4 linked regions of the Cricetulus griseus genome follow. The protein of the gene in region 1 interacts with the protein of each later gene in a pairwise test. Links are inferred from orthologs where the notes say so. Each region holds a gene or a part of one and is shown on either strand. Other genes may lie near its edges.

The links.
Region 2: the proteins of keratin-associated protein 26-1 (region 1) and Grn interact in binary tests that used the Homo sapiens proteins (3 or more experiments, as listed by UniProt). The two-hybrid records come from large-scale screens. The link is inferred for Cricetulus griseus from reciprocal best matches to the Homo sapiens genes KRTAP26-1 and GRN.
Region 3: the proteins of keratin-associated protein 26-1 (region 1) and glycerophosphodiester phosphodiesterase domain-containing protein 5 interact in a two-hybrid assay, tested with the Homo sapiens proteins (2 studies listed by BioGRID and IntAct). The two-hybrid records come from large-scale screens. The link is inferred for Cricetulus griseus from reciprocal best matches to the Homo sapiens genes KRTAP26-1 and GDPD5.
Region 4: the proteins of keratin-associated protein 26-1 (region 1) and Ccnjl interact in binary tests that used the Homo sapiens proteins (3 or more experiments, as listed by UniProt). The two-hybrid records come from large-scale screens. The link is inferred for Cricetulus griseus from reciprocal best matches to the Homo sapiens genes KRTAP26-1 and CCNJL.

The regions. Positions count from the first base shown.
Region 1 is NC_048597.1:8,799,592-8,802,007, reverse strand, and holds keratin-associated protein 26-1, read right to left. Parts: upstream 1,192-2,416; coding exon 559-1,191; downstream 1-558. UniProt on the Homo sapiens protein: In the hair cortex, hair keratin intermediate filaments are embedded in an interfilamentous matrix, consisting of hair keratin-associated proteins (KRTAP), which are essential for the formation of a rigid and resistant hair shaft through their extensive disulfide bond cross-linking with abundant cysteine residues of hair keratins.
Region 2 is NC_048600.1:115,672,836-115,677,165, reverse strand, and holds the start of Grn (progranulin), read left to right. Parts: upstream 1-1,515; 5' UTR 1,516-1,588; coding exon 1,589-1,620; intron 1,621-4,026; coding exon 4,027-4,171; intron 4,172-4,281; coding exon 4,282-4,330. UniProt on the Homo sapiens protein: Secreted protein that acts as a key regulator of lysosomal function and as a growth factor involved in inflammation, wound healing and cell proliferation. Regulates protein trafficking to lysosomes, and also the activity of lysosomal enzymes.
Region 3 is NC_048596.1:100,169,359-100,173,704, reverse strand, and holds the start of glycerophosphodiester phosphodiesterase domain-containing protein 5, read left to right. Parts: upstream 1-1,501; 5' UTR 1,502-1,520; intron 1,521-2,116; exon of another isoform or gene 2,117-2,842; intron 2,843-4,346. UniProt on the Homo sapiens protein: Glycerophosphodiester phosphodiesterase that promotes neurite formation and drives spinal motor neuron differentiation.
Region 4 is NC_048600.1:58,232,086-58,235,650, forward strand, and holds part of Ccnjl (cyclin-J-like protein), read left to right. Parts: intron 1-491; coding exon 492-705; intron 706-3,565.

The sequences.
Region 1 (2,416 bases):
AAGCAAAAGCTGACTGCTGGCTTTACAACTGGACGACATTCTGCCAGAGATATGTGCCCTAGAAATCAGAGGTAAGAGGTTACTGTTGAGTTTCCTTTTAGACCAAAACCTACCCAAAGGCCATTATTTTCAACCCTCATATTTGTCTGAAGTCATTATGCTTCTAAATTGCTTAACCATTACCCTGAGTCAGATAAAAGCATATGGTACAGCATCACCTGGCAAGCATTTGAGGGTCCCCATTTTTGGGTTAGCATAATGTAATGAAAGATGAATAAATGCACTGGATTCTTAATTCTGAATTAGTCTCATTTATTATAATATGGATTATATCAGGTACGTAGTGCTCCTACTTGAGAAATATTAACTACAGTATGGGCAGAGGTTTTACATCAAGGAAAGATAAAAGCAATTCACAATGTGAAAGGAAGTTTGCATTAACTCAGATACAGTGCAAACAAGAAAAAGCAGTTAATACTCAGAGAGGAAGAAGAGTCCAGAGTGTTGAGATTTTAATCCTGGATCCGCACCATTGTGGTTCACCAGGAGACTACTCCCTCACTGAGCAGAACATGATGGACGACAAGTGCCAAACACACGGGTCACTGGTTGGCAACTACCAGAGGCAGGCTGCAGAGGTCTGAAGCTGTTTGACACAATGTGAATGGCTTGAGGGCCATAAGACATACAACCCGAAGGCCTGCATCCATAAGGGACAATGCCCAGGGGTCGGCAGCTGTTGGATACACAAGGAAGTGGGCGATAGCTACCAGACACACAGCCCACAGAATGGCAGTTGTTGAAGAAAGGGCTCACTGGCCGGTAGCTGCTCGACACATAGCTCACAGGTCGGCAGGATGCTGGGAGGCAGACACCAGAGATGATGGATGAAGCAGGAAGATAGCCAGAGCCCTGGCAGGGCCTGGGCACATAGTATGCAGAAGAGCAACAAGAGTTCTCATAGCTGCTGGCTTCATGGCTGCCTGGCTGGCCACTGGAAGGTTCTCCAAAGGTCTCGGGGCAGTTGTCCATGACCCAGGTATGATCTTGACAGTTGCTGGGTATGCAGAAGACCTCTCCACAGCCCATGTTTGTAGAACAGAGGGCAATAGAAGGGTTGGCTTGGATATGGCAGGAATTTCTCAGTGATCCCGAGCTGCAGTTTGCAGAGCAGTTGTTACGGCTGGCCATGGTGAGAGTTAGAGAGCGGTGGTGGTCTAAGAGAAGATGTGAGCAGCTCGGTGTGACTCTGACACCCACTGGCCTTGTCTCTTTATATATGCTCAGAGAGTGGCAGTTCTGTATACAGAGTCATCTTCCTTGTTGTTTTAGGCTGCATCTGAACTCTATTATGTCCAGGAAGTAGGGCTCTTGCCTCTCATAAAAACTGGATGATCCCTGCAATGCCTTCCATCGATTGAGTGTAACTATAAATCAGTGTGACCGGATTTTAATAGGATCCTTGGTAAAGTTACACCAACCCAAGCAGACACTTTGGAAGGCTATGAACTCGCTCTAGTTGTAACCGCCAATGCACAAACATTTGTCTTAGTATTGTCTCCTGGAATTGCCTCTGTAAGTTGAAGCAAACTACTTTGAATAATGGCAAGTTATATGTAACTCACTGAAATGTAATTCTATTCTTTTTGTACATTAGCAATAGAAAATTTTAGGAAGGAAAAGATTTACAGAAGAAACTAAAATTTTTCAACTTTTATGATCCAAAGAATCGAAATGACATAAGGTGAAAGACTCGGGTGTTTTCCTTTGTTTCAACATCTGAACATAAAATGGTTTCCCATGAAAACATGTTCATTTGGGAAATGAGTGTTTGCTTCATTAATTTCTATAAATGAATAAACAGTCATTTGAGATCATGTTTTGTCTGTGATACTTCTGAATATAGGTAATGAGGTCGAGTTCAGTTAAAATGATGGATTCCAGTTTGAGCAAGGGCAAATACATAGAATTCTGTAAAGAAGGTTGGACAAAATGGCATTTATCACGAATTCAACAGACTGTATATGTTTCAGTGTTATTCATATTACCACCAAAAATATCTTTCTGGATAAAAAGAAAAGAGTTTATTATGATGACCATGACAGTATTGTGTTTATTTCAAATATTACATCTGATCTCAACTTCCATAAAGGACTGCATGCATTGGTTGGCATAAATAATATTAGAGTAAATGCAAAGTTTTCTTAGGTTTGAGTACTTTGAAGACGATGCAGAAACTTGTATGTCTCTACAAACTTGTTTTAAATGCATGAAAACAGTCAGATTCCACTATCCCTCTGCATTTTTCACCCACTGGTGTGTCCAGTAGCTCCAGTGGCTACTTTAATGGGAATTTAAATTATCTGTTGAATCTCAATTCCATACCCTTTGGCTAAAAATTCAATTTAAATCACAG
Region 2 (4,330 bases), on another chromosome or scaffold:
CAAACTCAGGTTGTCAGCTTTGTTGGTAAGTGCCTTTACCTGCTGAGTTTACCAGCCCCAGCCCCCAACAATTCTTTTTTTCTTATAAGGCAGTCCTGGGGCTGGGATGGAGCTCAGTTGATAGCATTTGCCTAGCTGACACAGGCCCTAGGCTTAACCCCAGAACCACAGAAACAGCACAGTTGCCTGCACTTGCAATCTCAGAGCTTGGGAGGCAGCAGGGGCAGGGAAACAAGAAGTTCTGGGTCATACTCAGATACATATCAAGTTGGAGGCTGATCTGGAACACAGGAGACCCTGACTCAGAGAGCTGCAAGGATACTGGGGCTGTGTTAAGCAATTACAGAATTGCAGAATTACCCTAGATACTCCACGTTGGCCTCCACTTTCTGGGATTCCTGTAGCTCTAGCCCAAGAAGCCCACCAGGCTCCTCTCTATGCAAGACTCTTACTGTCCTGGATTTATTCGTAGGGCTGTCCCCATTCCCCTGAGTGGCCTACCAGTCAAGCTCTTTGCTCCTCCCAGGGGACCTATCTTCCACACCAACTCTGCCTTTCCTACAAGGCCCAGCCTTGGGCTTTCCTGGGGCCTGTCCTCTTCCTGGCAGGTCTCCAATCAGCCATTTCTGTCTGGCCCAGGCCCTTTGGCACTCAGCAGCCTGGCTTTTGTTTCTGGCTAATCTGTTCTACTGCTAAAAATCTCTATTCATGGACCATGACAATTCCTCGAAGGTAGGGGTAGCTGAAACTAGGAGGCCTCTTGCACCTCCACAGCCACCAGCCTGCTTCACCAGCCCATGCCACATACTTAGCTCATGCCCAATGCCCTTACTTTGAATGTGGCTTTTAACTCTTGCTAGACACTGTACTCCCCATCTGCTTTCCTAACCTCTTCCGGAGTGCCTCTGTCCCGCCTAACCAGCCCCTTAAAATTCCTCTAGATTCAGTTCAGCGTGATACCATCTCCTGGCTAGCTCAAAGTGGATTTACATCTATTCTTCCCCTACCTTCAGCCAATCTCCTGCCTGGTACTCGCCCTTGAACATTTATTAGATTTAGTATCCCACCCAAATCTGGGGACTGTTTATCTTTACCCTCCCAACTATCTTTCAGCTTGTTTGGAGTCCTGGCTGCCTAGCGTGAAAACAGTGAATGTACAAATGTCCCGATCCAGAAGCCGACGCTATGCTGTAAACGACCTTGAACGCGCGCCCCGCAGGCGCCTTCTTAACTGTCGGTGGCCTTAGGTACGCAAGCCCCATCTCTAGAACACCTCGCCAGGCGCCGCCAGGGCCCTGGGGGGTGGGAGGAAAGCAACCGAACAAGCAAGCGAGGCCCTGGGGGAGGCGGGCTATGGTGTCATATGATTGCCTGGTCACATGATTCCTAGACATGGGGTGTGGGGAGAGAGAGGAAAGGGAGGAGGAGTGTGGATTGAGTAGAAAAGAAACACAGCATTCCTGGAGAGTCCCGCCTCTATGTAGACAAGTAGCCAATGGAAGCCCCGGATTCCCGACCCAGGGCTAATGGAAACTGAGGTGGGCGGGCCATCGGGCAGCCAAGCCCTAGTCCGAGAGCTGACAGCCAGATGCCTCCCAGGGAGTGCGGACCCCGAAGCAGGTAGGAGGACCCGCAGCAGACATCTCCCTGGCTGCTGTCCAGAGGCCTGGCCAGGCTTGCTGTGCAACTGAGGCTGCCCCGGAGCCTCAGCTCAGAGACGAGAGAAGTCCTGCCTCTTGAAACTCCCCTCGGGGTTTCAGATGCACTAACGAGGGTTTGTCATTTGGGAGGAGTGGGAACAGTTGCTGTAGACACCCCCAACAAGAGGCTCCCCTGCCCAGCATGTCGGAAAGCTGCAGGGCTTTCTCCAGAGCAGGAAGCGCCCCACTCTTGGGCCAGCTTCATCTCTCTCGGTGCCTCCCACCTCTTGTCTCCAGGTCCCGGCACTTTCTCATTCTGGTGCCGCCAGTAGTCTTCGCGGCGACTTGCAGTGGGTGGGGATCTCCCGCCCTTGGTCCCAGAGCTCAGAGGAGTTGGGAGCAGGAGTTGGGCGTGGTGGCAGAATCCCTGGGTTGTGTCAGCCGTACTTCCTTTATGGGGGGCGAGAGAGCTAACTTCCGCCTCTCCCCGCCACTTTTCCCTGCTCCTCTGCTGGATTGGCTCACCTTTTGGGAAATTCATCTCCCCTTGACACTCCGGAGTCGGGGGTGCCACCTAGTGGAAGATCTCGAAGCTAGGGCCTTGAAAGGCTCCTCCAGTCCTCTCAGGCTATTTCAACAGAGTGGTGTAGAGGTGGCCAGAGGTCACCACTCCCTAACCCTAATGAAAGGGATTAGGTCTCCCCTACCCCATTCTAATCTGGCCAGGAGATGACCTCTGGGATATTCTTTGAGAGGGTGCTTGAAAACCTAGAGAAGGAAGGGGAGGGGGCACAATGAGGGACAGATCCTCTATGTAGCCCAGGCTGACCTCATAGTCACCCTGTAGCCTGGAATTTGTAATCCTCCCACCTTAGCCTCCCAAGTGCAGGGATCAAAAGCATGTTTGTCATGCCTATCGGAAGCTTTGAGGTCTGGATGTTGGGATTTTGCCTTCCATGGCCACCAGTATTCAGAGTTTGAGGCACAGGAAACAATTTCTGAGGCCCTCAGCAATTGATCAGTGGCAGATTTTACACCGTCCCTGTACCCACCCTTTCTTTTGTAGATTTTTTTGTTTTGCTTTTGTTTTTGAGCAGGATCTTTTTGTCCCTGGCTGTCCTGGAACTTGCTATGTAGACCAGACTGGCCTTGAACTCACAGAGATCCACCTGCCTCTGCTTCTGGATGCTAGGATTAAAGGCGTGTGCCACCACCGTCTGGCTGTACCCACCCTATTTCTATCCTGTGTAGGTCACCTGCCTGGGAAATGTTCTGCCCGCTTCCCTCTGCTTGGACCTCTGGCCTCTGGGATTTGGGGTCCATTCCCTGGCAATGTTCAGGGATGTCAGTTGACATAAGAATCCAGGTCCAATATCTGCAGTCTGTTTTCTCTGACTTGATACCTGGGCATGGATTTGAAAAGTGAAAGTAATCTGATCACTGCTTTGCATAGTTGTGCAGAGAAATACAGTAAGGAAGGGCAAAGTGGCTCCCTGGAGGGTCTTTGAATATTGCTGTTTTTGCTGCCCCAGGCAGGGGAGTGTCACTCTGGGTTGCTGGGTAGGCCAGCTGTGCTGGGGAAAGACTTATTAGGGAAGTGAGAGACTCGGTTCCTCCTGCTAAGGCAGAGGGCCAGTGAAGAAGTACACTTAACTTTGCTCTTGCAGCTGAGTTTCGATTTCTGAGTAGGGAGAAACAGGTGGTATGTTTGAGGAGTCCAAAGGAGTCCTGGTGATGCTGAGGAGGGCTGGTTATGAAATTAGCTTCAAGGCTAATCCAGCCACCATGTGCCCTTCCCCTGGGTGGGGAGGGGACAGTTGTGGGCAGGCAGTGGCTGGCCTGTGGGAAAGGCAGCCCAGACTCCCCTGGCCACTGCACTTCCGTTTTCACAACTTTCTCAACCCCTGGTTTCCCATATGATCATGTGATTGACAACTCTGTTTCCCCAAGGCCTTTGAAAAGTACATGTGGGAGTTCAGTGCCAGGCAGCGAGGTGAGGCTGGCTGTCCTCTTGTGGCCGCTGAAGTCTCCTCCCAGTTAGCCCACAGTCCCATAAATCAAAGCCACATGGCTTCCTGACTGTCATAACTCCGCGCCTCTCCAGTCGCCTATAGTGTCAGGTGTTAGGCCAAGTGTGATGACATGATGGACACTTGTGTTCATGCCAGCATTCGTGCTCACCGTGTGTGCAAGCTGGTGCAAGTGTGATGCTTACAGTGTAGGATGCTGACTCAGGCAGCTGCTTGCCTTCCTGCTCACTTGTTGAGAAGTTTCAATAAATCCAAGGCATGTCATGCCTTGGCCAGGGCATGGGGAACTGCATGGACTCAGAATAGAAGGTGGCATAAGCTTAAGATGGCTGCCAAACTTTCCTTGGCATTTGCAGGCAGACCATGTGGACCCTGGTAAGCTGGCTGGCCTTCATGGCAGGCCTGGTGGCTGGAACACAGTGTCCAGATGGTCAGTCGTGCCCTATTGTCTGCTGCCTGGACCCCGGAGGAGCCAGCTACAGCTGCTGCAACCCTATTCTGGTGAGTGTCTCACGCCCCAGCTGGCATCCTGGCCTTTTGAAGGGTTACCTTGGATTGGCCAGAAGAGGTCTGGCACAGATCCTCTGGTATATGTCATTGCTTCTTTCCAGGACACATTGCCTATGGTAATGAGCGATCGTCTAAGTGGCATCTGTCAGG
Region 3 (4,346 bases), on another chromosome or scaffold:
GGGACATACATACACAGAGTAGCTCCCAACCATGAAGGGTGGGGGGAAACGAGGCAATGGACATGCCTAAAGAATCTTCCAGGCAAGTGAACCAGACCAAAGGCTGCCTCGGAGTTCAAGAAGGCATCTCAGAGAGGGTGACATTTGTTAGTCAATTATTGGGTGCCAGCCTAGGCTCTGAGACACAGTAGTAAAGAAAACTAGTGAGGGAGAAGGGATCTGGAATTCAATCTTGTTTGTATTTCAAATTTAAAAAAAAAGGCAAAAAAAAAAAGAAAGAAAACTAGTGAGCACTGGGTCTCAAACTCTCACCTTCAGTCCCATAGGAAGCAGGGATAAACTCAAGGTGGGGTACATGACAGCGCAGGAGGGCCATAAGAGCAGCCTCTGGGAGGAGCTGTGTGGAGACAATACCCTTCACTTATTCTTTAATCTGAGAGAGGTGTGATGTAGAGGCAGAGAAAAGAGGTGGAAAGACAAGGCTGGGTGGCACAGGTCAAAACAGGGGGCTACAATAACAGGATAGGAGCTCAGGACTTGATGGTATTGCCAACTCAAAGCTGAAGAAAGTTCCTGGCAAAAAGGGAAGGTATACAGGATCTTAGCACTATTACCAAGTTCAATCAGGAATCTTTAGTCTTCGGGCAGGCCCTGTGCCACTCATCTCCTGGGATATGTGTTTTAAAGACATTTGTTTTCTACAGAACTCCATCATGTCAACAGTGGACTGAAAACTTCTCATGGCTTTCCTTTCACTCCAGGCTCTCATCTGGCTGGGCCCTGGGCTCAGGAGGAGCCAAAGAAACATTTGGTCCTTTGGCTAAGTCTGAAACTCATTCCCCAGGAGCACATGTTCCTATTAACCTTGCTATCTCCTTTTGACCTCGGCATGCCTGTCACCTGCTCAGGGAAGCCTCTGCTAACCAAATTCAAGGAAGAAATCCCCAAAGATGTCCCTTCTGCAGGAATGCCATTCCCTCCATCTTCTAAGCCCACTGCCCATCTGGTTCCTCACTCTTTTCCCTGTCAAGCTGCAACATTCTGAGTTTATCATTATTATTATGTTTTGAGACAGGGTCTCATGCAGACCACAATGGTTTTTGAATTCACTATGTAGCTGAGGATGACCTTGAACTGACTGAGCATAGCCACAGGAGGCTAAAGCCACCTTTCAAAGCAAGTCTAGCCCAAGAATGTCACAGAGATGGTGGGTAGAATCCTAGACCAGTAACGGGAATCTGGAGTACATCACGGGACCTCCTCAGTCATGGTTCACTGGCAGCAGTGACATGGGGCTCCACGCATAAGACAGGCTTACAGATGAAGCTGTGCTGTGCCGCCTCATCCCAGGGCTCCCTAGGCCAATTAGTGACATATGCCCCGCCCACGCGCACTCGCAACATTCATTCATATATCAAACCCCTTCACGCCTGCTCAGTGCCTGGCACAGACGCTGGGGCCTCAAAGTCAGGGCCGGGGACGGGGAGCGGGTGCGCAGCCAACAGATGTCACGATTCGAGGTGAGTTGTCTTCACACATCTTCGCTCTTAATTTTGAAACTAAAAACGACGTTCCTCCTTGAGCCGCCGAACGCTGAGAAAGGGGAAGTGTGGGAAACAGATCTGCTCTTTATTTCTAAAAACTTCTTTTGCAACGTTTCCTAAAATCTGAACCTTTCACTGCTCTCAAATGCAGCTCGGTGCAAGGAGCTAGGAGGAGCCAGAGGCCGGCAGCATCACGCCACGCCCCGGGCTCCGCCACCCAGATACTTCCCGGTCCCAATCTCGTCTCCTCCGTGCCTTGCTCTCGAGGGTCGCGGTCAACCCATGTCCCCACGCTTCTCCCTCCATCCTGGTCCCCAGGCGGCCGGCACCCCGGCAGCACACCGCATTCATTGTCCTCCTCCAGCCACACCACACCAAGCTCAGCAGAGTTCCGCCCTCTTTCCACTCTCCCATTGGCTCCAGTTGCCCAACCGCGCAGGGACCCGCCTAGCATAGTCCTGCACGCCCCGCCTTTGCCCGAGGCCCGGCTAGGGGCGGGGGCTCTTCTGGCCCCACCCTTGGGGGCGGGGCCAGGCTCGCGGGCGCTCGGGCGCTGTCTCGGCGGGGCTCGGCTCGGCTCGGCTCGGCTCGGTCTGCAGCTCGGGTGGGGGTGGGCAGCTAGGGTGACAGCGGCGGTGGCAGAGGCTGCGGCGCCGGGTTGAGCAAGTGGCGAGCGCGGAGCGGATAAGAGGAGGAAGTGGAGCGGCGGCGCAGAGCTCCAGAGTCCGCCGTCGGGCTAGGTCCGCCCAGATTTGCAGAGCGAGCCGTGTCGGGACCTGGGCAGACTTTTTTGCCGTGCTCTGGCCGCTGGCTCCCAGCCTGCCCTGCCCTGCCCTGCCCTGCTGGTCCGAGTTCGGCGTTCCGCGCCTGGACTTTACCAGCCCGGTGGTCCTCAGCTGCTTAATCCGGAGCTCCAAGGCGGGACGCGCCCGGCCCTATCATACCAGCCCATCTTCTCCCGTGTGCTCTCCGTTCCCGGTCCGCGCAAGGTGGTCCCAGCTTCCGAACCTGAGTGTAGAGGAGCCGGGACGCCCACCGGCCTCCGGCTCCCGAAGAACCAAACCTTCAGCTGCCTTGGACCGGACTGCTCCGGACTTGAAACTGTACTGGCGCCTCCCGGGTCCAGCGCACCGTGAGGGGTCCCAAGCAGTCAGAACAGTCAGACTGAACCCCTGGTCTGGTGCTGCGAACCGAAGCTGCCACCTTCCTCCGACCGAGGCTAAGGACTTGGGGGTGCTTGCACCAAAGAGAACACAGGGGCTTCTACTGCCCCAGTCTCCAGCGAGCCGAGATTGCAGGTGAGAGCCCCGGATGCGCGGCGGGAGCGGTCCCGGGAGCCGAGAGGCAGGGCCCCGGTCAGTGGAGGGCGTGGAGGGGACACCCGCAGAGATTCAACTATTTAGGAGAGGGCGTGCAAAAGATAGTAGAGAGAAACCGGCACTTATTGAGTGCCCATTGTGTGCAGGTCCGAGCCCCGCCCTTGCACACACAAATTGTTCCTTATCCAAAGCTCGGTGCTATCCCTCCTTGAGATTAAAGCCGTTGTGATTGTTATGGACGCGGACCGATAGGGGAAACTAAGTCGTGACCGGGTTGAGGACCTCTGCTCCCCGTAAGGAGAATTAGACGGGAGAAGATAGAGAAAGAGCAAAGAGGGAGGGGAGAAGAAAGGAAGTAGACAGCCTGCAAGCAGGAGATTGGCAAGATGGGGGCCACGGGGACATCCAAAATCCAAGTACTGATCGATCTTGAAGCTGAAGAGGTACTTCTTTTTAGCGGTGACTCCTGAATTATGGACATGCCACCTGCCAGGAAAAGCGACCCAGCGTTGAGGGCAGAGGTGGGAAGCTTCCCAGTATCAAAAGATCTCTTCCTGTGGTCCAGGTTGGAGGGACAACCTGCTACCCAGAGTCAGGGGCCCCAAGTTCCTGAAGTATTCTTATCTGTTAGGGACTCACCATGTTGGTTCCCACGCCACAGCCATGTGAAAGCAGGAATTGTAGACCCTTCAGAACTCACCCACCTTGCCTTCTGAAGACTTGGGGGAAGCACAGGTGCTCCAAGGCCCTAAGGCCAGTGAGTGATTGAGCCAGAAGTAGACCTGAGAAAGATTTCTAGACATCCATCAGGGGTCCTGGCCCCTTCCCAGCTCATACCTTTGGAGTTTGTGACTGGGGTGAATATACCCCCAGTATGAGGCTGGGGTGAATATGTGTGAGGCTGGGGTGATCATGTATGTGGCTGGGGTGACCATGTGTGTGGTTGGACTGGGGTTCAGATCAGGCCTGGCCACAGTCTCTATTACTGCAGAGGAACCTGCAAGACCCTTCTGGCCCAGGAGAGAACTTCTCCAGGTCTTAAGGTTAGGGGACAGCTCTGGGGACACAGTCCAGGTGTCTCGATTCCCAGGCAGAAGTTCCTCTCACTGCCTCTGGATCTGTGCAGGAGAGAGGTATTGTGAAAGAACATTTGGCACAGACTCTGTGGGCTCTTGTTCTGGGTGGGGAGGGGGAGGCATATGGCCTTGGTCTGGGCACTGTGGCCTTGGCTGGGACTACTACTTCCCCAGGCTCCCTGGAGTCTGGGGGAACTACCATGGAAAGCCCCTGGGAGATAGAGCAGGGTCTTAAAGACTAGAAGGTTGTTCCTGGGGTTGGAGGGGATTCAGGGGGCCTAGAAGGTAACTAAGGGGCTTGGGATTCCCCCTCCCCCACCTCTGCCTGAGGATCCAAATCCTCATAATAATCCTTGATCTAAACAGAGCTCTCCTTTGATGAACTAATTTCACACCTGTGATCTCAT
Region 4 (3,565 bases), on another chromosome or scaffold:
TAGTCTTGTTTTTGTTTTTTCCCAAAGGGGGAGGGGGCGGGTCACTCACAGTCCTATGCAGAGGGAATTAACGGAGAACCCTGAGAGGTTCCCGTGTGCTAGACGTCCGCATACATTTCATCAAACCTCAGCTACCGAAGAAGAAACAAAGGAAGAGAAGTGATTCATTCGGCTTCTCAGTAGAACCATAATTTGGAAGTGAGTCTCTGCCTCCAGGGCCAACATTCTTTTGTGGTTTTAGGTTTCTGCAAGCACCTTTCTTGGGGAAATGCCTGATTTCTCTGTCGTCATGCAAGTCCTAATGGGCCTGTGCTTTGGGAAGGGGGGTGGGAGCTGATCTAGAACACAAGTTCTGTTGCCTTGAACACAGTGCCACACCTGAGACTTGAAACAAATGAGCAAGGATGTAGAGAAATGGCTGCCCTCCCTGCCAGTCTATGGGCAGACCTGGGTCTCAGTGTCCTTGACCTTTTTTGTTTACCTTCCTCCAGGAACTAAAGCTTCCCACCTTCCGCGCCCACTCCCCACTCCTGAAGAGCCGTCGGTTCTTTGTAGACATTCTGACCCTGCTGAGCAGACACTGCCATCTGTGCCCCTCAGCCCGGCACCTGGCCATCTACCTACTGGACCACTTCATGGACCAGTACAACATCACCACCTCCAAGCAGCTGTATACTGTGGCCGTCTCCTGCCTCCTGCTGGCCAGTAAGTAGAAACTTTTTCTTCTGCAGCCGGCTGAGTTGTTGCCAAACCACTACCTACTTCCATGGCCTTTGTCGTTCTCCTTTGCTGGGTGGGAACTGTTTCAGTAACTGCCAATAGTTTTTTGCACCTATAGTATACCAGAGAAACTAAGGATATTCACAGTTTGATCTTAAAGAGTCTACATGGTGACTTTAGAAGACAGTCTTGGTTCTCAGTGTTATCAAAGCTCAGAGAAGCTTAGGAACTTATTTTGGGTTGCCCAACTAGTGTATGACAGACAGTATTTGAAACTGTAGCTGCTTGATGCCAGGCCTGTGTCCTTGATCTCATGTTTCCTGCCTCTTTCCATGAGGGCTCTATATGGCCCTCACCTCCACTGTTTTTAGAGGTGTCTAGAGATGAAACTGCTTGATTTGGACCTAAGCTGGATCCATGATGTTGTCACCAGGCCTGAGCACATTCCTTGTGTAGGATCTACACTTTCCAAGGAGGCTTCACTGAAAACAGCCAACCTCTGGCCATCTGTTCTTGGTGAAGATTCCTCTATACTGTACTGTAGCTTGGATGAGCTCCTGACCACACAGGTCTACTTGTCACCTTGCCACTTAAAACCACTCCATTCAGTATAATGGTCAGACCTCAGGTTCCTTTCCCTCTGGATTCATGTTTCTTTCCTCATCACTCTCTGGATGGCAGCCACACTGGTGAAGCTCTGTCCCATCACAGACCTCTGCCTTCATTGCTTCTTGCTGCATTTGTGAACTCGGCACACGGGATCACATACTTAGAATTAACACCCACTAGTGATGGAGAGATAGCCCAGTGGGTAAAGTGCTTGCTGTGGGTTTGAGTCTCTGGTATCTACATAAATGCCAGGTGAATGTGGCAACCCACCTGTCATCCCGTCACTGGGGAGGTTGGGACGGAATCTGCAAGGCAAGCTGACTAGTTAGACTAAGCTGTGGATTCAAGTGAGAGATCCTGCTTCAGTAGATAAGGTGGAAAACAATCTAGAAAATATCTCATGTCAACCTCTAGCCTTCATAACACATGTACACACATGTGTCTATACACATGCAATCCTGTACTCAGAGAATTCCAGAGAGGGAAAAGAGCTTGGAACATGATTTTCCCTCATAAGAGCATTTGTAGAAACAGCAAAATGAATGAAGCTTAGGAACCTCTCGGAGGAACCAGGGTTCCACTTTCCTGTGCTGCCCATAGTGCAGGGAAGTAGAATGTTCCCTTAAACCCTGAGCTCAAACTAGCCAGCTGCCACTGAGGACATTTCCTTGGTACCCAATATTACTATTTTTACCCTTAACTTATAATCCGGTTTTATGTTCACCTCCATGCTGTGTTACTACTCTGTGCTATTAAATATTTCCTAGCTATACGATAGGAGGATAGCACCCACAAATTGCTGGGATTTGGTCTGTTCTTGGCAAATTGCTCTAAGCCCCATGGCTTAAACTCTCTCTCTCTCTCTCTCTCTCTCTCTCTCTCTCTCTCTCTCTCTCTCTCTCTCTAAGCCCCCATGGCTTAAACACATACACACTCATGAACGACACACACAGGCATACTCATGCACACAGCAGTTTTAGAATTTTGTTTGATTGTTTGGTTGTTTGGTTGACTAGATGGCTGATTGATTTTTGAGACAGGATCTTGCTGTATAATCCCAGTGAGACTGGAAGTCCCTTTATAGATCAGGTTGCCCCAAACTTTGTGATCCTCCACAGTGTTGGGATTACAGCCATATGTCACCGTGCCTGGTGGGAGAGTGGCTTTCAAGTTTCCCACACGCTGCCTTATTTTCACCTAGGACCTCTACCCTATTGTAAGTTGTCTTTAATGTGGACCAGCTAGAATTTGCAAGTTATCAGTGGGAGCCAATTTTGTTCAGAGCCCAGCCTTTTGTAACATCTTATCATCTCAGGAAGAGATGATGAGGCCTGGGAGATGTTTCCATCAGAGAAGGGCAGCACAGGCATTGTGTTTCAGGCACACCATGGCCTTTGGCCTGTTGCTTCTGTGATCTGTGGACTGCAACGAGGCCTACTGGGGGCAGGAGACTTATATTTCCTTGGGGCTATGGAGCTCTCCCCCAGCATCTGTCTGGGGAGCCAGGATGTAAGGCTCACACTGGAGACACCATTGTGCTTCTGTCGCCATGGTGGAGGAAGAGAGCCTTCCAGATGGAGAGGCAGACCCCCGCCCCCACCACACACACACATTTTGATGGGCCCCAGCCAGCCTGGGAAGGCAGAAATGGAGTTTTCAGAACACCTGCCATATGTTCCAGGGCTCAAGGAAAGAAAAGTTCCTGTGATGGCCTGAAATCCTATTCACCCCTCCTCCCTTTTCCTGGGCTCACTGTCAGCCACAGGGTAGGTGGGGTGGGTCACCTTGCCTAGGGAAGCTTGGAGTTCTGCTGATTCGGTGCCAAATTTCTCTGAGATAAGAAAACCTGGCACCACTGTCCCCACCTGTGAATTCAAAGGGTTTTGCTTTAAAAAAAAAAAAAGATTTTGTGTGTGTGTGTGTGTGTGTGTGTGTGTGTGTGTGTGTGTGTGTGTGTGTTTATGTGTACATGAATGCAGGTGTCCATGAAGGCCAGAGGATTGTATCTCCTTGGAACTGGAGTTATTGTGAGTCACCTAATGTGGATGCTAGGAGCCAAAGTTCTTCGTTGGGGGGACCCAATGAAGAACTGAACTGGAGTCATTTGCAAGAGCAAACACTCTCTTATCCACCACTGAGCCATCTTTCCAGCCCCAGATTTTCAGGGTTTTATGTGTAGGTGTGTGTGTGTGTGTGTGTGTGTGTGTGTGTGTGTGTGTGTTCTTGCACGCACACA